Arabidopsis thaliana: one gene and its partners. The protein of the gene in region 3 purifies or fractionates together with the protein of the main gene of each other region. This does not show direct contact. Each region holds a gene or a part of one and is shown on either strand. Other genes may lie near its edges.

The links.
Region 1: the proteins of AP3 (region 3) and CHR4 purify together in Arabidopsis thaliana (affinity purification with mass spectrometry, with the first as the bait; one study listed by BioGRID). This does not show direct contact.
Region 2: the proteins of AP3 (region 3) and CHR11 purify together in Arabidopsis thaliana (affinity purification with mass spectrometry, with the first as the bait; one study listed by BioGRID). This does not show direct contact.

Annotation. Positions count from the first base shown.
Region 1 is NC_003076.8:18,089,392-18,096,753, forward strand, and holds the start of CHR4 (chromatin remodeling 4), read right to left. Parts: upstream 4,517-7,362; 5' UTR 3,797-4,516; intron 2,890-3,796; 5' UTR 2,772-2,889; coding exon 2,553-2,771; intron 2,459-2,552; coding exon 2,357-2,458; intron 2,258-2,356; coding exon 1,502-2,257; intron 870-1,501; coding exon 774-869; intron 643-773; coding exon 1-642. Other genes in the region: AT5G44820 (Nucleotide-diphospho-sugar transferase family protein), read right to left, coding at 6,404-6,886. UniProt on the Arabidopsis thaliana protein: Chromatin-remodeling protein that binds DNA through histones and regulates gene transcription. May specifically recognize and bind trimethylated 'Lys-27' (H3K27me3) and non-methylated 'Lys-4' of histone H3. Probable chromatin remodeling factor.
Region 2 is NC_003074.8:1,938,315-1,948,488, reverse strand, and holds CHR11 (chromatin-remodeling protein 11), read right to left. Parts: upstream 7,517-10,174; 5' UTR 7,424-7,516; coding exon 7,226-7,423; intron 7,019-7,225; coding exon 6,887-7,018; intron 6,792-6,886; coding exon 6,685-6,791; intron 6,574-6,684; coding exon 6,461-6,573; intron 6,258-6,460; coding exon 6,160-6,257; intron 6,070-6,159; coding exon 5,890-6,069; intron 5,808-5,889; coding exon 5,586-5,807; intron 5,390-5,585; coding exon 5,255-5,389; intron 5,173-5,254; coding exon 4,890-5,172; intron 4,813-4,889; coding exon 4,739-4,812; intron 4,629-4,738; coding exon 4,408-4,628; intron 4,332-4,407; coding exon 4,244-4,331; intron 4,166-4,243; coding exon 4,072-4,165; intron 3,996-4,071; coding exon 3,801-3,995; intron 3,720-3,800; coding exon 3,685-3,719; intron 3,576-3,684; coding exon 3,499-3,575; intron 3,401-3,498; coding exon 3,311-3,400; intron 3,213-3,310; coding exon 3,143-3,212; intron 3,037-3,142; coding exon 2,982-3,036; intron 2,892-2,981; and 12 more. Other genes in the region: AT3G06410 (Zinc finger C-x8-C-x5-C-x3-H type family protein), read left to right, coding at 1-211, 298-597, 692-1,018; AT3G06390 (Uncharacterized protein family (UPF0497)), read left to right, coding at 8,782-9,041, 9,144-9,270, 9,364-9,576. UniProt on the Arabidopsis thaliana protein: Possesses intrinsic ATP-dependent nucleosome-remodeling activity. Constitutes the catalytic subunit of several complexes capable of forming ordered nucleosome arrays on chromatin. Involved in the formation of nucleosome distribution patterns.
Region 3 is NC_003074.8:20,117,532-20,124,324, forward strand, and holds AP3 (K-box region and MADS-box transcription factor family protein), read right to left. Parts: upstream 3,784-6,793; 5' UTR 3,557-3,783; coding exon 3,369-3,556; intron 3,268-3,368; coding exon 3,201-3,267; intron 3,118-3,200; coding exon 3,056-3,117; intron 2,972-3,055; coding exon 2,872-2,971; intron 2,700-2,871; coding exon 2,658-2,699; intron 2,382-2,657; coding exon 2,337-2,381; intron 2,092-2,336; coding exon 1,897-2,091; 3' UTR 1,609-1,896; downstream 1-1,608. Other genes in the region: WRI1 (Integrase-type DNA-binding superfamily protein), read left to right, coding at 245-936, 1,039-1,068; emb1967 (Forkhead-associated (FHA) domain-containing protein), read right to left, coding at 4,767-4,847, 4,926-5,054, 5,177-5,263, 5,367-5,515, 5,746-5,797, 5,883-6,793. UniProt on the Arabidopsis thaliana protein: Probable transcription factor involved in the genetic control of flower development. Is required for normal development of petals and stamens in the wild-type flower.

The sequences.
Region 1 (7,362 bases), on a different chromosome or scaffold from region 3:
TCGCTGAGGCTGTTTCCATTTATCTTCACAGATGTTTATTACAGCTGTTCCGTACTTTGCTTTGTAGTTCTCTAGTTTTCTTTTAGCTAGACCTTTCAGCTCCGCCTCAGAAATCCAAGTATTATGAATATTAGATTTATCCACCCATTTAACAAGAAACTCATATGATACAGTCTCACCAATAAGATCTGAAGTTTTAGCAGCAACAGGCTCCTCAATTTCTTCATCAGCCACAGTGCTTTTTTCCCCTGTTTCCTGATGTGCTTCTTCAAGTAACTCCCTCTCAACAGATACATGCGTTTCACTAACTTTCATATCTTCATCATCCACATGTCTACTCAATGTGGCATTGGAAATGTCTTCAGAAAGCATCTCTTCTTTCACCTCAACCATACCCTCGGTACCTAAAGCAGAATCATCCATATCTTTATCCCTCAGTCGTGAATCCCTCGAACTTTTACCTGTCTCAGAAGAAGAATCTATTCTGTCCTCAGCAACTACTAATTCAGCATTCGTATCTTGTACTAAGCTATCCCGTTGGTCAGTAGCTTGTAAATTATCCGAACACAAGTCATCTGAAAGAGCACTACACAGCGAGGTTTTAGTCAGACCTTGGATTCGGCATCCTAAAACACGATGAACCTGTTAGGAAACCACAAACAAAAGAATGAAAAGAGATATTAACAAGCATGAGCAACACATGAGTCACCAGAAATGAGGGCGCATCATAATAGATAATTCTGAAGGAACAACATTTTTATTTTGATGGATACCTGGAGGTTTCCAACCGGAAGAGAGTTTGTATCTTCCAAACAACTAGAAGATTTATTAGTGGCACGTACTGCACGACGTTCCTCCTTGGGAAGCTTCTGCATTAGTACGTATAAGTGGTTAAGAACATATACTAAATGAAAGATGATGCAAGAACAACAACGAATAAAAAAAGAAATCAATAGGACCATCAAGAAATTTCAACTCTAAATTCCTAAAGAAAAAAAATCAAACTATTTCCAAGCTCCTGCAGTTAAAAGAGGTATCCATAATTCATCTGCCGAAACAGAGGTATAGTCACATGTATCATAACTACTTGTGAGAAACCACTATACTAATAAACAGGCAAAACAATATTGAGTTTGTGAAGAGTCGCAAAATGATAAGCAAAACAAAATGTCACTCTGGTTATATAAGAACTTAAAATAGCCACAATCTTCAGGACAGAACAAGAAACACTACATGCAATATTGACCAAAGACTCTTTACATTAATGCAGAAGATACTCAACATTAAATACAGAGTGTCAAACAATCTTGAAACGATTCTGAATCTTGTAACTCTACCAAATCTCTGATCTCTGAATTTTTTTTCTTTTATATCTTTTTAGTGCTACAACACACTTAAGAAAAAGGCGTGGATGCAACATTTTAAGGTTTCAGACAATTCATTTCCCTAGTATCAGCATAGTAGAATGTCTACAAAATCTATCATGAGTAGGAAATCATACCTTCACTTTTTCTGGTGTTTCTGTCTTGGACTGAGGTTTGGACAAGGATTTTAAAGTCACACGATTTTTCTTTTTCTTTTTTTTCGAAGACTCCGGTGATTTGGTAGTCTGAGAACTGGAACCCACTTTGGACAAACTTTTCTTCGCGCGTTTCTTATCAGTCTTGCACCTTTCAAGACTTTCCCCATCATTTAGTTCACGCTTCCGTTTTTTCCTTTTACCTTTTCCAGTCTCCATTTCAGCAACTGTCTTGTTCTCCACGATCTCACTGGAAGCATGTTCCAACTTCTCCACGGGTGCTTCATGAGTTTTCTCCGTATCTGATAGTTTAGATTCGGAGAGATCTTCACAGGACAGCAACGTTAATCCTGCATCAGATGGTAAATCTGCAGTGGGTATGACGGGTTTCCCCAAATCATCTTCTCCATGAGACGATGAATCAGGTCGGTCATCCGCAGATGCATGACCAAGCTCAGCAGTTGAACAGCCATCCATCGGGGAAGAATAAACTTCCTTTCCTGTGGATTTGCTCTCTTCGGCCGATATAGATTTCCCTTTCTCTGAAGATTGTTCTCCAGAAATTATAGAACTGCAATAAATCTGAGAAGCTCTTTCGCACTTTGGTCCGGCTTTTGAATTTCTTTTCTTGGTTTTTGTTCTTGCTCGCTTAGCAATGGCATCTAAACGATTGACAGGCTTGAGTGCTTCACTGTTTGGGGAACATTTTGGGCAGATCCACTTACCATTTGGAATCCGCTGGAGGAGACGAGATAAGGAGTAAGACAAGTTTCCCAAATTTAGGTGTTGCGAATCTACGACTACAAACGACACATGGAAAAAAAAAAAATCATTTACCTTAAGAGGTGGATTGAGGCATGCGGTATGATAGGTCCGAGGACAACTATCACAACACAATAAATCACCACCAAGGTCACAGATCACACATTCAAAATAATTCTGTAAGGAAAGAAAAATGATTAATTAAACAACACCATATAATAAAATAAGGAGACAAACTTTTAAGAACACCAGAAAGATAAAATGAAGTTACCCCATCATTTCCTTTCCTCTTAGAGGAGTTCCTTTCAGGAGTCGAATCAGTCTTAAGCCGCTGCTTACTTGGTTTAGAGGAAGAAGTGTATTCCGGGGAATCAAAAGCCATAGAACTATCCACTTTTTGGTCTAATATATCTAGTATAGACGGAAGTTTTCTTCGTTTCTGCTTCATGACCCAATCTCTTTTAATCATTTCACTGCCTGAATCTTTCATTTTCTACTTCTGTTTCCATACCATATGCTTGATAGAGAACCGGATAGACCTTCATGTGTAAATCACAGCTACCGAAGTAACTAAAGAATACTGGCCTTCAAAAAACTCTGTCTCTACACTAAAATTGTAAACAAAAAACGAGTAATGTAAACCATAATCTAAGATCAAGAGACACTGAAACAACAGTGAGGTAGTTAAATACTTAAATTGTACACATGCTCAGAAATACTGAACAGAAAAATTGATAAGATTAAATGAAGTATAACTCAAATCAATGATGCAGCATCGGACAAAGCACAGTGTACCAAACCATAAGGCCATAACCACAATTTCATTCACTTTTAAACCGATATGAAATCAAACAGCGTCATCCAAGCATATAAGCTATAGAAGCTAAGAAACTAAATGATGTCACCCCTAAAAATGGTGGTATAACGTTAGAAGCCTCACCATCCGTAATCAAAAGTCTTAATTAAAGATGAGACACAAACCTAGTAAGTAATCTAATCTTAACACAGCTTTTATAATAAACGATTCGTTCCCTCACTCCTTACGAATACTTCCATTAAATTCATACTTAATTACATTCCTCTACTGCAAACTACATTCCTCTACTTCAAAATCAGGTGTTCTCTAAGGCAATAATACACTAGTTCTAAAACATAGATCAATGATCCTATATAACTGAAATAATCAACGACAGATGGTAGAATTCATGAATCACTGAGATTCAAGTAAAGACAGCCATTGGTAATGAAACTCAAACAAACATAATTTCACACACAAATCAATAGAGAAAAGAGCTAAACAACACACATTGGCACTAAACATAAAGCTTCATTGGAGATAAACCCAATTCCCCCCCAAAGAAACTCAATTAAACCGAATCACACTAAATCAGTCCTTAATTAAACAGCATTAACATTACACAAGCATCAAAACCCCTCACCAAGTAAGATAAATCATCGAAATTACATAAGCAAATACAAAAAGAGGAAATACCCAGAAAGGAGAAAGCAGCTTACAAATCTGGGAATCTGAAATCGGAATAAAGTTGTTAAAGAGTCCTCCGATAATCAAGGACGAGAAATCCGGCGACGGAAGTTAGGGATTGAAGTCCCGGAGAAAGGGGCTTCTTCTTCTTCTTCTTCTAGGGCACGGCCTCACGAGAGAGAGATACGAAGGGAAAGAGAGAGAGAGAATGAGAGAAAGAGAGAAGGCGACACGCGAAACGATAAATAAATTAGAGATAGAGAGAGAGAAAGGTCAAGTCTTTGAGAGATGGGTTTGGGTTAAAGGGAGAGAGAGAGAGAGAGAGATAGCGAAAAGAAAGGCATATGATTCGGATTCGCCGGGCTCATAGGGGAACGGACTCTGACATGGCACCCAACAATCGCACCGCACGAGACAGAACCGGGAACGGAGAGTGACCTCTCTTCCTCTCTTTTCACTACACGTGTCCCCCTCTCTCTCTCTTTATCAACAACCCAACAACAAAGGTCTTGCCTTTTTGCTTTCTTCCTCCGTTTCGGTTCGGACCGGACCCTTCTCTGCTGTTATGTCTCGAACCATCATTTGTGTCAAGTGCGATCCAATGAGAGAAGAGACAAAAATCCGCCATGGATCTTAATTTCGAATTTTGTCTTACTTATTAGATCCTTTAGTTTCTACTTTGATATTATTTTTATGCTTCTTGTTTTTAGCTGGTTTTAGTTAAATTCGTTTAGATACTACTAGACAGAGAGCTTTTTAGTTTTATAGAATAAAGTTAAAAATTTCAAATCTATGTTTTTAAAACGCCGCCACCAGAGAAAATGATTATCTTTTCTTTGACGTTAATAACCTTAATTTAATGTTCTTCAGACTGAATAACTCTTTTTTTTTACTGTTATTTTATTTACTTAATATTTATTTAATGAAAAATTGTAAAGTGGACCATCAGGTATTTGGGCCGAACTTAGGTTACTTGTGATTGACATTAGGATTATACATTTGGGACCCATTTGATAGGCCTTTTGAAAGTGATTGCTGTCATAACATATATTCATTTTATCTGACACAAAATTTAAAGTGTTTAAAAAAAAAAAAAACAGATGTGGTTTTGTAATTGATAACGCGTAATTTTAATGGACTTTGTAACACTACAACTGAAATTTGTTCTTCTATGGTTAGTGTCCACTAAAAATAAGGTTGCATAAATGTTGGGAAACAAATATTGTGATTGTGTTATTGGATGGATGGTTGTGTACTTGTGTTATTTGTTTTTTGCAAACCAAGTTGAACACATTTGTTTTTGTTTTTTTTACAAAGATGAATCGATAAGCAAGGTGAGATACTATGGTTTACATTTGTATCTAGAACACGGTTTTATTATATGGTGTTTTACTGTTTTTGTTATTCAAATGATTGTTTTCTTCTTTGGTGATCTTATAGTTATAATACTGTATCTTTGTAGGTTCTTTGATAATTGAACAACATATTCATGAGGAAGATGAATTAAATGTAAATATTATATGTAAAACTTAAAATTCAAGTGTTTCTTTACATTACATCAATTATGGAAAATGTGCCTAATCGTACATTCTTTTGGGTTGGGTCTAGCAGTTGAAAACTCCTTTCAAAGGAGCACAAATTCTCATTTTTTTTGGGCCAATGGACCAAGTACTACTTGGTAAACATTCAAGTGTTTTTTCTATTTTGTCATGTGTGGTAGTACCATATTCGAGTTTCGACTTGGTTAACGTTTTTTAAAGAGGCAGTATGTGATTATAAACACACTCAACTCTCTATAAGTTGAAGAACTAGTCACAGTCCAACAGATTTTCTAAAATTTATGTACAATAAATTTCAAAATTTTAGGGTACAAAATATCTATTATGTGTTACATAATTTGTAAATGAATGACACATATCATATCATTATTGATGAATCACTTTGTTTAAATCTTGCCTACTTTTAATCCAATGGAGATATGATAAACTTATATAACCTACACTCGAAAGCATCTGGGCAAATTGGCAAGCCACCTATGTTGTGTTGGGCTTCTCCGGCAGCCCATCTCATCTAAATTTAAAAAACTTGTAACGAATCTAGGCCCAAACCAAAATTATAACTGACCAAACCAATAACTACTTAAATCTACAAATCGGGTAAATGACTACAAAATCTACGTTGATAGAACTTATGAAACTACATTGATCATTTTTCATATTACCAAAATCAAAATCGTATCATTTCTTTCTTTTTTTTAATGTAATGTCAAATTATATTCAAAAGAAAAAATATATACGTTTTTACAACTTGTGCTTCGGTAATTGAAAATAAGATCAAAAACTTTGAGAAATTTCAGAAAAAGTTTGAAACAAAAATCGTATCATTTCACAACACAATTTATTCAATACATTAACATTTCAAACCAAAAACACTAAAAGTCTAGAAGATTATTTTAGTACTTTCTAGCATTCGGCTCGGAAAACAAAAAATGACATTAACAAACAGAGAAAATTAACCATCAAAAAAAATATTTGATTAGATTAGAGAGCTAAAGAATATTCCTTGCACGAACAATAAACTCTTCATTTTTAAATATACTTTTCATCCAAATCTCAACAAAACAAAGAAAGAAGGAAATCTCAATCTTCCAAACACTTCATAGGAACACTCCACGTCGTGTTCTGCACTGGTTCTGACAAAGACAGGTACTTTCTCCAATCATCAAGGACAAGATTCAGATCATGAAGCTTCTTGTCCAAACCAATACAACAATTAGCATGCATTGTGCAAACCAAGTTTATGTCTCTGCTCGTTTGACAAAACCCACCAAAGTAAACTGTATCAAAGAATCTCATTTGGATTCCAATCTCTGAGATAAAAGGCTCATGCTTGATTCTGTTGAACACATCTTGATCATGCAAGTCTGGATAATCTAGACGAGATTTGTGCCAAAATTTGTAAAACTCAATGCTTCGATTGTTTGATCTCACGTATGTGAAACCACCATTGACCCAATTGTCTGAATCATAAGGATTTCCAAAGAATCTGTCACACGCCATTTGGAAGTCTCCATCTGGATATAACCGAGGAAATGGATCTCTAAGCCACATTATATCTGCGTCCTATATTCAAACACACACAATAATTGTCTATATAATCCCTTTAGCTTCGATTGAGAAGAACATTGCAAAATCGTGGAACATATACAACAAAAATGTTGAATTCATCAATCAAACGGAAACCAAAAAAATGACTTATGGTCTAATTAGAAAAAATGTGGGATAAAATAAAGGTGACAACCAATGTCGAATAAAATGGCAGAATTGTAAAATGCAAAGGTGAAATAGCGGAAACTTTTGCTATATGGTGCAAATTCTAATTATAAAAAGTTGAAATATCTATATAATAATAATAATAAATGTGTTTTGGTGGTTTACAAAAACTTTTGATGTGTAATTTTTTTTTATACTTTACATGTTTGCAAGAAAAAACATCTAGCATTTTGGCAAAAACATTTTAAAAGAAAATGCTAAAAATGACACGCATCAATGGCCAAAAAAAAAGACTGCAAAATCATATTCTCCTACCATTTCGAAAG
Region 2 (10,174 bases), about 18 Mb from region 3:
GCAGCCGCAACAGCAGCAGCCACAGCCACAGCCGCAGCTACAGACTATTTATCCGACACTTCAATCTCAATCTATTCCTTCGTCTCAACAATATGGGTTAGTTTTGACTAGGCCTTCTTTTTTAACTGGTTCATATCTTCAAAGCCCTTACGGTCCTCCAATGGTTCTGCCTCCTGGAATGGTTCCATACTCTGGTTGGAATCCTTACCAGGTAAATCCATCTTCTAAGCCTTTATCTCGCTTTTGTAGGATTCTTCATTGCTACTCTTTTTGTAAATGAATCTATCGACTTTTTAGGCTTCTTTAAGTGCAATGCCTTCGCCTGGAACTCAACCGTCTATTGGATCAAGCTCTATTTATGGACTCACGCCGTTATCTCCTTCAGCGACTGCATATACAGGAACATATCAATCTGTGCCTTCTTCAAATTCCACCTCAAAAGAGTTTCCTCAGCGACCTGATCAACCCGAGTGTCAATACTTCATGAGAACTGGTGACTGTAAATTCGGATCTTCGTGTCGATACCATCATCCTGTAGATGCAGTTCCACCTAAGACTGGCATTGTCCTCAGCTCCATTGGCCTTCCACTTCGTCCCGTAAGTCTTTTTTCATTTTTCTAGAGATACAAACTCGATCCAATATAAGATTTTCAACGAGTCTTGATATGATACGTTTCAATGTATTTGACAGGGCGTAGCGCAATGCACTCACTTTGCTCAACACGGAATCTGCAAGTTTGGACCGGCGTGTAAGTTTGATCACTCAATGAGTTCTTCGCTTAGCTACAGTCCGTCTGCATCATCACTAACTGATATGCCCGTGGCGCCATACCCAATCGGATCATCCTCACTCAGCGGCTCATCAGCTCCAGTAAGCTCTAGCAATGAACCCACCAAAGAGGCTGTGACTCCTGCAGTTTCTTCTATGGTCAGTGGCTTGAGCCGTCCTGAGCCAGCTGAGACGAGTGGTGACTCAGCCAGCGTCAGTGGCAGCATAGAAGCTAAGACTTCAAGTTAAAAAAAAAAAAGAGAGGAAAATATTCTCAATTCTTCATGAACTAAGCAACATTAAGAAAAAAAGAGAAAAGAAGATTATTTTTGGGGTCTGAGATTTGATGGAAGCAGAGAGACTAAAGCTTCTGTCATTGACCATTTGTCCATATATAATATATTCTCTCATACGGCCATCTCTCCTCTCTTGTTTATTTTTCTTGAATAACGAATTACTAATAAATGGCCTTATTCAAGCGACATTCATCAGAAGTCCCCTGTTTTTATTCCTTCATGAATCTGGAGGAGTAATTTAAAATGTCTGCGAACGTAGAAAGAAGCATAAACGGATATAGTGTACACATTTTCTCTTCCTCGTTCTTGTAAGTTGTATCCAATGACATCTACATTCAATCACTGCACATTGCACGAACAATGCCTATGTACATCTTCTTTCCACAAAAGTATCAGATCTCTCCTCTCTAAGTAAATAAAATGCAACCGTTGAACAAAGAAGTAATAAATTGTGGAAAAAATCGTCTGTTCATATATCCCTCAGAAACTCATAACTTTTGCTTAAGCTTCAGCCTAAGTTGCCATCCAATGGCCTCAAATCCTTTTGTTCAGTTTCTTTACGGAAGAGAAGTCTACAAAATTATAATTAAGTCATTTCATTAAATCCAAGTCAAACCAGGACAAACATTCATGAAAGCAGAATGAAATCCATTTGCTATGTTTTTAACATTAGCTTAACTATATGTAACAACAAAGACTCGACAGATCCGTAAACACATAATCTCATCTCATCGACAGGTGCTTCCGCTTCTTCGTCGATGAAGGACTCTCACTTGCTTGTCTTCCTAAAGGTCGCTTTGATGGTGTTGCACTCTTCAAAGATTAAAAACCAGAAAAGCATTAACCACCTAAAGAAATCAAATCAAAAGAATACAACCTTATACATGAAAATATTGCATTATTTTACCTTCGCGAGCTTCTTCTCTTTGCGGGCTTGCCTCTCTCTTTCATCAAACTCCTGGTTCTCTTTCTCGATCAGTCGAATCAGAGTGTCGCATCTTCTTGCAAGTTCCTGACTCGTGCGGGATTTCACAAACCAGTCAAACCTGAACACAGACGATGTCCTAAATGCTGCCTTTAGCTCATCCCAATTCCCATAACCAAGTTTGTGAATCATGCAGATCTGTTTTTCACCACCAAAGTTCCTCAACAGTCAAAAACTTCATGATATAATTAATGAGACAGAACAGCAAAAAGGGAAACGAGAAAAAGACATACCATGAAACGGTCACACTCTTCATTGTACAGCTTGCCTTTGTTCTGACCATATTGAATCTTCAGTTCCAGCCAAGGGTTTCTGTAGCGATCCAGTTTCTTCCCTATGGCCTTCATGATTTCGTCTTTCCTAGAGATCCTTGCCTCTCCCCTCTCAATGTTCTTAATGATTCTATCATAGTCTACATATTTAGAGGGAAAGATGATAAACTTACTTAGCATAAGCTCTTTTTGGAGGTAGGAATTACTTAGAAACATGTAAAAACACTGCATAACTTAGCATTGAAAGGTGTTACTTACCGTTCAGCTCCTTGTACCGCTCTTTAAATACTTTGGCATATCTTTCAACTTCTTCCTCTGTTTTCCCTTCCATCTCAGAGGCAATGCTTTTTATGTCGTTGCGGCCATACTTCTCACAAGCCCTGAGGAAAGTATTAAAATCTCTTCTGCTCCATGTTGAGAAACCCTGGAGATTGACAATTACAAAAAATTAATTAAAGCCTACCAAATCAAATGTCTAAGACCACTCTAACATCAAACATATTCACTTGCCTCCTCCAATAATCCCTCCTTTTCTTCTACTTCTTCAGTAGTTAAGGGATCCCCACCTTCTAACAAAAAAATTCTTAATCAGTAATAGGTTTGCTGAAAAACATGTTAACAAAGTGGGTACATGTTAACAAAGTGGGTACAAGCTTGACCTTCTGGTTCTTCAACATCAATTGTGTCTTTCAACTGATTTTTCTGATGTGTTTGCTGAAACCAAAAAGCACAAAAAGAAGCAAGTTGCTTTTATAAGGCAAAAAAACTCGCTCTTAAGCACATCAAAGGAATCAAGTGTTTCGTTTTGAGAGAGGCCTACCATGAGATAACGTACTTCCTTTTCATACAACTCGGTCAATCTCTGAATGTTAAAGAACTGGAAATCGTGCCTGAAAGAGGGACAATAAATTAGATTTCTAGTGTAAGAAAATCATCAAAACAGGGAAAAGGCATTCAACAATGAGATGGAGGTTGTTGAGGTACTCACAACTGGGGCATGCGCGGAATTCTAGGCTCTTTAGGTTTAGCTGGAGCACCTTGCCGCAATGTTTGCTTAAAGTACTCAGATTCAGAGTAGCTGAAGATACAGTAGATAAAACAAAAGGGATGTTTCTTTTAGATATGAAGACTGGCAAAATAGGACTGCACAATGTATAAGACAGAAGTAATCATTACTTGCGCTTTCTCTCCCGCTTGGGGGGATCATTCCAATTGTCGCTTACAATCTTTTTAAAATCGAGCTTGTTTTCATCCTATGAACAAATTTACAAATATATTAGTAAATTTTATCATCAGTAATGCAGAGCAAAGCTAGGGATATGACATGAAAGTTAAGACTATGCAAAGAAATATACAAGTTACCTTATTGTCATCATCAAAATCATAGAAGTCAGCACCTACAACAAATAAAACAACAGATTATCAAAACATTACAATATTCACACAACCTAATAGGGGAAATAGTAGGTAAGTGACACCCTTACTGTCATCCATTTTAAACTGTATAGCATCTTCTGTGAATTTCTTCATCTTAGCATCAAGTTCAGCTGTTGCCTCTTCTCCTTTGGCAATGATTCTATCAATATCCTCGTCTGTGATTGTGCTATCTTTAGAACTGAACACCATCTCAGCACCATATCTTACCATTTGAAGCAACTCATCCTTATTGACAGCTGCATAGTTAAGATAAATACCAATTCTGTCAGAGATGAACCAATGCATAAAGCAATCACTGTATAACGCACTTACTTTTCTGTTCTGCCAATCTCCCTTGTTGAATAACCAGAGCATCAAGTGCTAACTTCTTGTAAGCTCTTTCAATCACTTTCTCCTCAATAGCAGACTGTAAACAAACAACACATAATTAATTTTAAACCTCTCATGGCTGTTTTAACTTGAAATTCACGGAGAGGAGACCAACCTCAGTGCAGAATCGAAACACTTGAACTTCTTTTTTTTGACCAATCCTATGGGCACGATCCTGAGCTTGCAAGTCGACTTGTGGGTTCCTGCCAGAATATGCCAGACTCGTCAAACGTGAAGAGAAAGTTCATAAACTACAGTGGACAATGATGAGAGACTTACCAATCACTATCGTAAAGGATCACAACATCTGCAGTAGCAAGATTGATACCAAGCCCTCCAGCTCTAGTAGATAACAAGAAAACAAATTTCTCACTTCCTGGCTTGTTGTAGGCTTCTATGGAGGCATCTCGTTCGTCACCACCAGTGTTTCCATCAATACGGCAATACAAGTAACCACGATACATTAAATAGTCCTCAAGAATATCCAAAAGTCTTGTCATCTGACATGTGGAAAGAAAAGAATAAGGCTCAGACTTTACATAGACAAAGGAAAAAGAGAAGATGAACTGTAAGAAACCATTATATCCAGCTGTTCTGTATTAGCGTTTACCTGAGAAAATATCAGCACCCTTGAATCACGTTCTTTCAACTTAGGAAGCAATTTATCCAAGAGAACCATCTTACCTAAAATAACAATATAGAGATGCTTCATAAAAAACTTCCACAGAAATCTGAAGGATCTAGTTTATTTCTAGCCTTACCAGCATTTGTTATAAGGTGATCTCCTGTGGTATATGGGGGACCAGGTTCTGCACCCTGGAAGAGATAGGGGTGATTGCAGCATTTACGCAGTTGCATTGCAATGTTTAGCAGACGTTTGCGTTCTCCACCAGCATTAACCGCTTCAAGATCCTTCTGCAGTAAAGCCTTGTAGTATTGCTTTTGCATCTGAGACATACCAACTTTAAGTATGGTCTCCTTCTTCGGTGGCAAACCTTTCTCAACATCTGACTTTAGTCTTCGAAGAAGAAATGGTCGAAGAACCTAAAAAGATACATGAAAGCAATTAACCTACGACTCACACAGAACAGAATAAACTCAATGCAAGGAATGGGTGCATCCATACCTTGTGCAGTTGTTGCACAACTTCTTGCTGGTCATTCTCACCAGAAATTTGAAACCATTCATCAAAAGTCTCTGCTGAACTAAAAATCTCAGGCAGAAGAAAATTTAGAAGAGCCCACAGTTCATGGAGATTATTCTGCATATATGAGGACAATATGAGTACAGCAGGCTACACAGTCATTATACGGTAAATATTAAAAGTGCCCGGAAAAGCAAAAGTTAAGAGTGCAAACAGAGCCGTACAAGAAAGGTTGTTTCAACATTCAATTAGAAGCAACTTAACAAAGAAAACTTCAATGTCCAAATATTCAAGAATAAGATAGAGCAAACACCTGAAGGGGGGTCCCCGTGATAAGAAGCCGATAATTGGTGCTAAAAAGTCTCATGGTTTTAGAAAGGAGTGAATTCTCGTTCTTGATTCGATGCGCTTCATCAATGATAATATAACGCCAGCTAAACCGACGAAGTGCTGTCTTCTCTTTGATGGCCATCTCAAAGCTTGTGACACAAATATCAAATTTCCCAGCAACTAGCAGGTCTTCTCGAATATGTCTCTGCATCAGTTAGCAGACATTTCAGAATCCTGGGATAAACGTTTACATGAAATTCTGAAATGGCAGACAGCTCATGACTTACCCTCTCCTCAGGATTACCAAGGAACTTCACAGCACGTAGGACAGGACAAAACCGGCGAATTTCGTTCATCCAATTACCAAGTGTTGATTTTGGAGCAACCACCATATGGGGACCATTGATTCCCCTGTATTCATGAAGATATGCCAACAAAGAAATCGTTTGAAGCGTCTTCCCCAGACCCTAGACCACAGGGAAAAAAAAGTTTCATGATTAGCATGACAGAATATAGAGAACTTATTCTGCTTGGATCGTTGGGGGAGAATTATTTACCATTTCATCAGCAAGAATTCCATTTATGCCATTCTCATAAAGACGAATGAGCCAGTTCAAACCAGCTAATTGGTAATCTCTCATCTTCCCTTGAATACCTGTCGATTGAGAAGAAAAATAGATGAATCTCAAGCTTTCCCAGTAATTTACGCTATACTACATACTAACTGTGAGGTCACAAAAATATGTATGGTTACGCAAATGGACGGAGATGTCAATCATATTGTACTTGTTGCTCGAGACTAGAGAGACGATTAATATACAGTAATCCTAGACTAAAGAGCAAAATACAGGTACTTACAAGAGGGCTGTGTGAGTAACCGTGTGTTTCCAGATCCAGTTAAGCCATCCTCTTCTTCCTTTAGATACTCTTCGTCTTCCTCCTCTTCAGTTATTTTGGAAGCATGACGTCCCCTGAAGGTAGAAGTTAAAACCACATAAATCAGGGCCTGGCTCATCATATTTACTCTGAAGCTAGAAGCAATGATGAACCGATATTTTAGGAAAAAATTGCATCTAACACACCTTCCTTTTGCCTTCTTCTGAGAAGAAGATCCATCACTTTTAGCAAAGTGGGCAAATAACTCAGTTTGCTGCAGAAGATACTTCAGTCTCCCTTTTCCCTTATTGTTCTAAAACACATGGAATGATTCAGAATCGTCAGAACTTAAAAGCACGAGAACGAAAAGTAGCTAAAAACCTGAAATATATAGTTCAAACAACGCACCATATCCGCGTCAATGGAAGCATTCTGCGACTCCAGCATCTCTTGAATCTTCTGCTTCTTCAACTTCTGCATCTCTTTAAGTCTGGCTTTCTCACGTTTGCTGATTTCAGCTTTTTCCTCATCTTCTTCGTCCTGCTTATACCACAATGAGCCACCATGCGCAGACATTCAATGAACTTTCACTCAACAAAAATTCGACTAAAACTAACAAACGAAGGAAGACGCGAACGCCGAATCCATTGCATTAAATGAAATTTCAACTTTCCAAGTACAAAAAAGATGCAGTTCACTGAGATTTCAAAAATCACAGCCATCAAAACGAAATTAGCCTGCAGCTACCTCGTAATCATCTTCTACGGGAGCAGCCTCTCCGTCGGAGACTGGTGATTCGTCGGCGGCGGCTACTTCGTCATCGTCGGAGCCAGAAGAACGAGCAACAGCCTCGAGCTCCTCCTCATCTTCTTCTTCATTATCCTTAACCCGCTCTTCTTCCTCCTCTGACGAGAAAGCCTCATCGGAATTCGAATTTCTCGCCATGGAAGCTACGAAATCTGCTTTCGCCTTGAGATCGAGGGTTCGCTTCGCTTGTGAGAAAGTAAAATAAAGATTTTAAAAAAAAAGTGAAACTTTAGATACAAATTGCAAAACGACCGAAGCTTCAGGGTAATTTGTAACCGTTGATTAAGCTGAATAAATATATGGCTACGATGTAACTAGTCGCTTCATCGAACGGGGAATTAGTAATTAATTACCCGCCACCTGAGCAAGAGAGTTGTTTTGGAACATTCGCGATTTGGGCTTTGTTTAATCATAGTTGGGCCTGACTGACCCATAAGACCCACTTTCAAGCCCGATATTTTCCCCAACTTATTACTATGCTGGAGCTGCTCGAGAAAGATTCTCCAGTTACACTATTTTTAATCTTTGTGATTGATCATCGCCCCCAATTTGTTAAAGCTATCTCTAATTTTATATATTTGGATTTACTAAAACCAGTTAGGTATTATTAAGATATGAAATAAAAATCATGATGAGTTCATATATATTATTACTGTTAGGTCTGACTTTTTTTGTGTTGTTCTCAGACTTGTGCAGTCACTCTGTATTGGTATCAAGAGATAAAGTTTGGTGATTTTGCTAAGACAAAACTACTCTATTTCGACTGGATTAGTATCTGAAATAGCTTTATCCATGTTAAAACATTATAATATGTTTGAGAAGTGCTGAAGTGGTCATGCTACTGGGACATTTGTTTCTTGCAGTTTAATGTTTTTACATAAAATAAGATATCCATTTACATGATTTGCAGCCACAAGCAGAAAGCAAAGTGATACCTAAGAGCATGTATAAAATTACCTTTTTCATGCAGATGATTGGTTAACCACTCCTACTGTTCTTTACTCTCCTTTTTTGTATTTTGTTTTTGATTACCGTCGCCCAATTTCCTCACCAACCTTCCCGGGGTTGGCCTAACACATTCCCATTGTATATATCTACATTATCCATAACTTATACCTATAGAAATATATTAATTTTTCTATTAATCAAAAATAGATATGCATGCAAAATTTGTTGTAACAAACATTATATGTTAACGTTGAAATAAAACTACAACATCTAGTGAATTTTCCAAAAACTATTTCGAAATTTTAAACAATGAAAAATGCAAGCTAGAAATTAAATGAATTGATATTCATGTTCCTGTATATATACATTAGTGAATAGTGTAAATAAATATAAATTTGTTTCTTGGCGTGTGGGTAATAACTACAACTCATCACCGGGACTATCTATATATATATACTCACAAATAATCTCATGTAGCGGCCAACTTCATAACTCACAGTCCAAACTTAACCACAACCTAATCCACAAAAGAGTTATAGAATCATCTGATGGCGTCTACTGAGAACCCTGACCCTGAAACTGGCAAATCTGAACCGATTCCCGCGTCGGCTACACCACCACCCTCATCAGCCGCCAGTTTCCTAGATTGTCGTAAAATAGACATTATAACAAGAGTTCTGCTTTTCTCCGCCACTCTGACTGCTCTTATAGTAATGGTGACTAGCGACCAGACAGAGATGACTCAGCTCCCTGGAGTTTCGTCTCCGGCTCCTGTCTCCGCCGAGTTCAATGACTCGCCCGCTTTCATGTTTGTCTCTTTAATTAATTAAATTCCTCCATGTTTGATCATAATCATGGAATGTTTTCTAGTTTAAACTTAATGTGTTAAATTGGCTATATATCTATGCAGATACTTCGTGGTTGCTCTCGTGGTAGCTAGTTTCTATGCGCTCATATCAACACTTGTCTCCATCTCTCTACTCTTGAAACCTGAGTTCACTGCACAGTTCTCCATTTACCTAGCCTCGTTAGACATGGTAACTTGTTTTACAAGGAACTTTGAAACTTCCATATACCATGTTAATTAGGGTGTTTTAAGTAATAATTCCGGAATATGTATATATGAACAGGTGATGCTGGGGATTTTGGCGTCTGCAACGGGAACGGCGGGAGGAGTTGCGTACATAGCGTTGAAAGGAAACGAAGAAGTTGGGTGGAACAAGATCTGTAATGTCTACGACAAGTTTTGTCGTTACATCGCAACTTCGCTTGCCTTATCTCTATTTGCTTCACTTCTTCTTCTAGTTTTATCCATCTGGTCAGCACTCTCCAAGAGAACATGAACAAAAGCTTATAAATCCATCCTTTCCCTGTACTGTGTATTTGTTCACACGTGTTTGTCTGTGTCTTGATTTGTTTTGTTTATGTTATATTAATGTAAAAGCATGCGTTTCTATATACAGTACGAAGTTGCATTCGTGTATCTCTTGTCGCGTAATATACTAATATGTAACTTCTTTATCCAAAATTCGGTCTTCATATACAACAAATTAAGATTCAAGAAAACTCTTCATATACCAATCACTGAAATCTCTCTCGAGCCCTGAGACATTGCTTGCTCACATCAAGACTTGTTGCAAGAAACACGGAGTCATCGTCTCAGGACAAAACTCATCCGAACCAAACCTTGGCGGTTTTGAGAGGATCACAGAGAACCTAAAGGACGAAAATACAGCGATAGATCTGTTCACTTACCAGAGAATGGGAGAGCACTTTTCTTTTCCCCAGATCATTTCCATGCCGTCACAGAGTTTGTCCGGAACCTTAGTCAGTTTAAGCTACCAGAAGATGATCTTCGAGCAGAGGAAGAAGAAGAGGAGAATGCTGCAGCCAAGAAGAAGAGGAGAATGCTGCAGCCAAGGAGTTTTTGACTCACTGTAG
Region 3 (6,793 bases):
CACCAAATTCTATTGATTCTTTGTCTTTATTAGGTATCATAAATTCTCTAATTTAAATATGAAACGACAAAGAAGAAACTCTTCTTTTTAACACTTGTTTGGTCTTATTTGGTTATAGCCACTTACCAGGTAATGTGAAAGTTAACAACAAGTTGCGTTAACTTTCAAAACACTGACTTTGTTTGCATTGTCTTGATTTAGAAGCTTTTTAGCTAACACAGTTGTCTATTTATTGGTTTTACAGATACGCAGGAGGAAGCTGCTGCAGCATATGACATGGCTGCGATTGAGTATCGAGGCGCAAACGCGGTTACTAATTTCGACATTAGTAATTACATTGACCGGTTAAAGAAGAAAGGTGTTTTCCCGTTCCCTGTGAACCAAGCTAACCATCAAGAGGGTATTCTTGTTGAAGCCAAACAAGAAGTTGAAACGAGAGAAGCGAAGGAAGAGCCTAGAGAAGAAGTGAAACAACAGTACGTGGAAGAACCACCGCAAGAAGAAGAAGAGAAGGAAGAAGAGAAAGCAGAGCAACAAGAAGCAGAGATTGTAGGATATTCAGAAGAAGCAGCAGTGGTCAATTGCTGCATAGACTCTTCAACCATAATGGAAATGGATCGTTGTGGGGACAACAATGAGCTGGCTTGGAACTTCTGTATGATGGATACAGGGTTTTCTCCGTTTTTGACTGATCAGAATCTCGCGAATGAGAATCCCATAGAGTATCCGGAGCTATTCAATGAGTTAGCATTTGAGGACAACATCGACTTCATGTTCGATGATGGGAAGCACGAGTGCTTGAACTTGGAAAATCTGGATTGTTGCGTGGTGGGAAGAGAGAGCCCACCCTCTTCTTCTTCACCATTGTCTTGCTTATCTACTGACTCTGCTTCATCAACAACAACAACAACAACCTCGGTTTCTTGTAACTATTTGGTCTGAGAGAGAGAGCTTTGCCTTCTAGTTTGAATTTCTATTTCTTCCGCTTCTTCTTCTTTTTTTTCTTTTGTTGGGTTCTGCTTAGGGTTTGTATTTCAGTTTCAGGGCTTGTTCGTTGGTTCTGAATAATCAATGTCTTTGCCCCTTTTCTAATGCTCCAAGTTCAGATAAGAAATAAAAACTAAATGAACCGTAAAACACAAAGGAGGCTAAGATGTCTATGAATTTCTCTGGCATATGTGCAATAAGGAAGAGCTTCAAGGAATCTTGAACTAAGAGAAGGCTTCAAAGGCTAGACCTCTTCAAGTTCCCCTGTCTTATTATTGACCGGACTATGAAGTTTCTAGGAAGGTTATATAGGCAAAAGTTTATTCCTAACTCTTAATTCATAATTCTGATTGCGATGATTTTTGGTTTGCTAGATAGTTTAGTAAAAGAGCCTTACCATCCAAACTTGTGATCAATATTGGTAACCGTGAACGTCTTCATTAGGGTGAATATTTGAATATCTTTGTTTTCGGGTTACACATAACAACCCGAAAAGTTGTTGCATTTGGCTCGGAATACATCTTGTATAAAAATTTGTCTTTACTTTTTAGTTTTGTAAATCAATAGTATGATTGGTAGTCTATTCGTTTTGTGGAAACAACTTCAATTTGTATTTCATCAGACAATATATATGCATTCAAGTAGAAAATCAAATCGAGTAAATTTGTAGCATAATTAAGTAGAGTGGTCAATATAATAATACGATACATGATAAAAGTCTTGAAAACATTCCACACACAATAAGCCTAAGCACTACTGATCACACAATCCATATTTCTTTAGGCTTTAAAATACATAACTAAGAAACATGACAGTTTAAGGTTTTAGCAACACCATGCCTTATGTTTTAAGTAGTTACTAAATAATTAGATAGACAATGATGGCACCAGCAAACCTTTTAGCCTTTAATTATTCAAGAAGATGGAAGGTAATGATGTCAGAGGCAGAGGGTGCATGAAGGCCATGGTTGGGGTAATAGTGGTGATGGTTCTGGTGGAAACGAAGAGCGTAAGCACGTGACCCTTCGATTTGGTATCCAAGAACTGAGTCGTAATCTCCTCCATTGTCTACTAGTCCATAGTGAGGATCTTCAGCTCTTAGTTCCTAATTCACCAAAACATGTTTTAAGCCATATTCCACATAACTAAAACCAATATTATTAATTCGAAATGACATGACATTTGATATATGATTTAACTAGGAGATATTTCGATAAGAGAATCACAAGAAAACATAAGAGTGACTGATCAATCTACACTACATTTCTAGATATCTTTTTAACTGGCTCCGTATTCCATGAATGTATTATGCCTAAACCAACATTTGAGAAAAACAGAAAGAGATATTACCAGCTCATGTATGAGATTCTTTTGTATGTCTTGTTGACTTTTGTTCTGCAATTGTGTAAACCACAAGAGAAATGATGAAGAAATATTCCCTCCCAAAAAAATTATGAAGATATATACCCAAGTTATTATGACATCACTATATAGTATACTTGGTATTTTCTTTATCCATTAGCTTAAACACACACACACACACACAAATATAATTGTCCAAGAAAAGTGTTATCAACAGTTTTAGTAAGTTGATAAATTCAATTGACACAAAATTGTTGAGACAAATAAATATGATAAAATGGAAAAGTGAGTGGACATAGAAGATGTGACCTTTTTCTTGGTGGTCTCGATCTGATTCCCAAGAGATTTGAACTGTACAGTACAATACAATTAACATATATTATCCAACAGTAAACAAAATGTTTCTTTTTCTAAAACATATATACAACAATAAAATTCATTTTTTAATAATTCAATTCAAAACTGAAGCTTGGGTATATAGGATTAATTGAAACCCTAGGTAAGGGAAAAGTATGAAGAGAACCTTGCGCTCGCGAACGAGTTTGAAAGTGTTTTCCATTTCATCCTCAAGACGACGCAGCTCCTGAATGTCAAGCTCGTCCAAACACTCACCTAGCCTCTGCCTACAATTTTAAAAATATGTATATTTTCGTACTCATTTTTTTTAGTAAAACTCCTCATCTAAGAGAAGAGAGAGAAACAAATACTTGATCTGAGTCCGGAGATTTCTATTTGTCTCCAACAGTTTCCTCTTGGTTTCTTGCATTCGCTGCAGCAAAACGCATCAAGAATTTAACCAACCAGCGAAACACATATCAAGAAGAAGAAGAAAGATCTAAGAAGGAAAAAAACCTCATATTGAGTGGCCCAAACATCGACATCAGAAATAGTTTGGTACAGATCTACGATCTCCTTCGTTCTATAACCAACAAAATCACCAAAAAAGTAGTGGTTAATTATAAGAAAACAAAGCAACTCAATTAGCTTAATTTAAGAGTGGTGTTTAGAGAGATGGTGTACGTGGTGTTAGGGCTGATATACTCATGAAGCTTGTTGGAGCTAGAGAACATGATAATCGAAACCCTAGCATCACACAAAACCGTGAGCTCATGTGCTTTCTTGAATAAACCATTTCTTCTCTTTGAATACGTCACTTGTCTGTTTGTCTGGTTCTCTATCCTCTTGATCTGGATCTTCCCTCTCGCCATATTCTTCTCTCTTTGTTTAATCTTTTTGTTGAAGAGATTTGGTGGAGAGGACAAGAGATATAATGAGAAGAAAGAAGTGAAATAGAAAGAGAGAGATGGAGTTGAAGAAGTAAAGGGTCCACTTGAGTTACTAAAAATGGAAAGTATTGCCTAATCCATGAAAGGTAAGTTCAGAAGTTGATGAAAACTAAGTGATAAATTTTCCATTTATGTAAACTGATTTTTTTAATTACAAGACACTGTTTAAATCAACGGACATCGATGGTTGTATAATTACAAGACACTGCTTAAATCAATTGTCACTTGGTAAAAGAGGGGGACCAAAGCTAAAAACTTGGTTTGCTTTTCGTCAATTTATTAACGGAGCTCCGTTAGCTTCTACTTTGTTTTTGTTTAGACGGTGACAAACTTAACGGCGTTTGTAAACGTCAAATCAGTGCAGGTGGATTTGGTTGGCTTTTTACACTTACCCTAAAGTAAACAAAAGTGTTTAGGTGTGAACAAGTTTTTATATTGGTGTTAAAAGCCAATATTCTACTTTTGTCTGTTAATTTGGGAAATAAGAAGAAAGAGATATATATGTTTGGATTAATCGTCACTTCCATCTAACTCAAATCTTTTATATGTTTCCCCAAATGATTACAATAATTTCCCGGATTTGCCTTTAACTAAAGATCCTTGGAAAATAGAATATTACCCCTAGGGTTTAAGAAGGAATCACAAGTTAGGAGAAAAGTCTTTGTTTGTAGATAATGTTTGGTCCTAACTCCAAACAGTCCATCAAATCAGATATATGATGAAACTCTTTTTTCTTTTTGCTTCGACCAGTTAGTGTTGTTTCAAAACTAAGTTGGCCACAGTTACTGTTGTTTTGAAACTAACATGGATTGATCTTAGTTCATCATCAATTTTCAAGCAATGGAAATCAGTGAGTGAGTCACGAAAATGGAAACCTATCCTTTATACTGATAGGATATCCAAAGAACTTGTGTATCAACTTCACAAGAACAATCATTCTTCGCTTAAAACACAAATTCAGATACAAGAGACTTGTATTTTCATTTCAACGCCTTAAAACAGGGTCAACTATGCATGATGCGGAACTAAAGATGTATTAAAAGATCTACAAGACGTGTTCCTATGGCTAAGGTACATTACACAAGAGATGCATCATTCATCTACACAAACAACACGCACTCTTGATCTGGTCTCAGTTCACTTTCCCTCTTCTCTTCAGGTACTCTTGCATGCAACTTTGGTTTGTTTCAAATATAAAAGGCATTCCCCGTATCTGCGCGCACATATATCGGGTTTAAGTACGGACCTAGAAGCGTAAGTAATGATCATAAAAGAGTATCCCGGATCAAACCTCAACTAGACAATCGGATTTGAGGATTAAACTCTGTCCAGGATCTACTTCCTTCTCATTTACTGAGATTGAATACTTCCCCAGGTTTTTTATATGAAACGAACCGTCATCACCCAGCCGTATGATCGCCTGCATTCAGTAACCCAAAAAGGAAAAAAACATACACAACAACCATTACAGATCCTGGGCTGCTGCTTCTCATACAACTTAAAGACCTAAAATACAAATAGAAGTATCTACTATTGACCGACCTGTCGTCGAGATATTTTGCTACCCCGCTTTTCTCTTCCCAAATCAATGTCCACAGCGAGGTCTTCTGTTGATCTACCCACCAAAACCTATGTTAAGAAAAAAGAACCCCGATATCAACAAGTGCTACTATAATTCTTAAGAAGCTTATCAAATCATACAAGGAATATTAAACGAATAAGATAATATTACCTCAGGCTTCTTGATATAGTGTTTTGAATATCTGCCATATAAAACAGCGAATGCACCACGGGAAGCAATGGCTCTTTGCATATATGAATGAGCAGCCTGCTCAAGTCTTATGATTGTTCTTTTCATGTCTTGGCTCTGATACTTGGAGACTGCAAGTGAAAACATTTTAGGGATTTACAAACAAGCCTTAAACCTCTTCTAACATCTCATACGCTACCCATAGAAAAGGTTTCCCACATCACTGCAGCATGTAATAACTTTTAGGAGCCAAATGCCGAAATACATTCCTATTCACATACTAAAAGCTTTCTTTTCCCAAAAATGTAGATAGATAGAAAGAAACATGAGTTCCACTGGACGAGAAGGGACGCTCAACTACCTTCGAGATCAAAATTATCTTGATCATCAGGTTCCAAGTCCATGTCAAGTATCTGAAATAAAAAAGAGTGTTATGGATTAGGTGTTTACGTGTCATGGAACCATAGCACAAGAATAAAGATGGAAGTCAAGAGTTACCATAGCCTCAATGTCAGAATAATTGGGTAAGTCCTCATCACTCTCACAAACATGCGCTTCTGCTTCTGCTTCTGCTTCTGCACGGGTGATCTCCAGCTCAGGGACTGTAATCTCTATCAAGCCATCATCAGTATCTTTAGCATGTGGCGATTCATTAACAGGTGGTACAACATTTTTCTCTTTACAATTTTCACTATCCTTCTCTGGGTGGTTGCCATGGCCATCAGATCCGACAAAGAGTGTTCCAGTAGCAGTTTCTTTCTTTCCATCTTTTGCACCGGTACCAGTAGAAAGTAGAGTATTAGAGCAAGCCTGTGCAGAGGAAGAACCACCAGGAGCTACAGTATTCTTTAACTCAGTACTAGTCGATGCCCTGAATTTGCTACCTTTACTTGGTTGGCCCATCTCTGGCTTTCCTTGAGTAGACCCCTGTAAACGTCCTGGTTTTTTCTTTTGAGCCTGGAGTGAATATCCCTCACTTTTTTCCTTACTGGCGGAGACGTCTCTTACACATGTAGTTATTGGACTATTGGTATCCTTAAAGTTCCGCCGGGCTAAAGAAGAAACTGACATCGGACGGGAGTTGTTGGACAGGAAAATGTCATCATTACACGGAATATCAGGATCCTCTTCGTTTAATAAACAGCAGATTACACCCCCAACAATCTCAGGATGAGGATCTAAAGCGATTGTACCATCTAGCTCAAGCATCACATGATCATCCAGGGTTGCCTCTCCTGGATGAGTTGGTGCAATGGAAGGTTCTTGCTCGGTGGGGTTAGGAAAAGCCTCGCGGTTTGTATCATTTGTAGAGTTCACCAACAGTGAGCTAAGACCATCATAATATGACTTGTCAACTTCTTTGCCATCTACTTCCATGAACGGTTCCATGTCTTCTTCGAAAAGAGAAG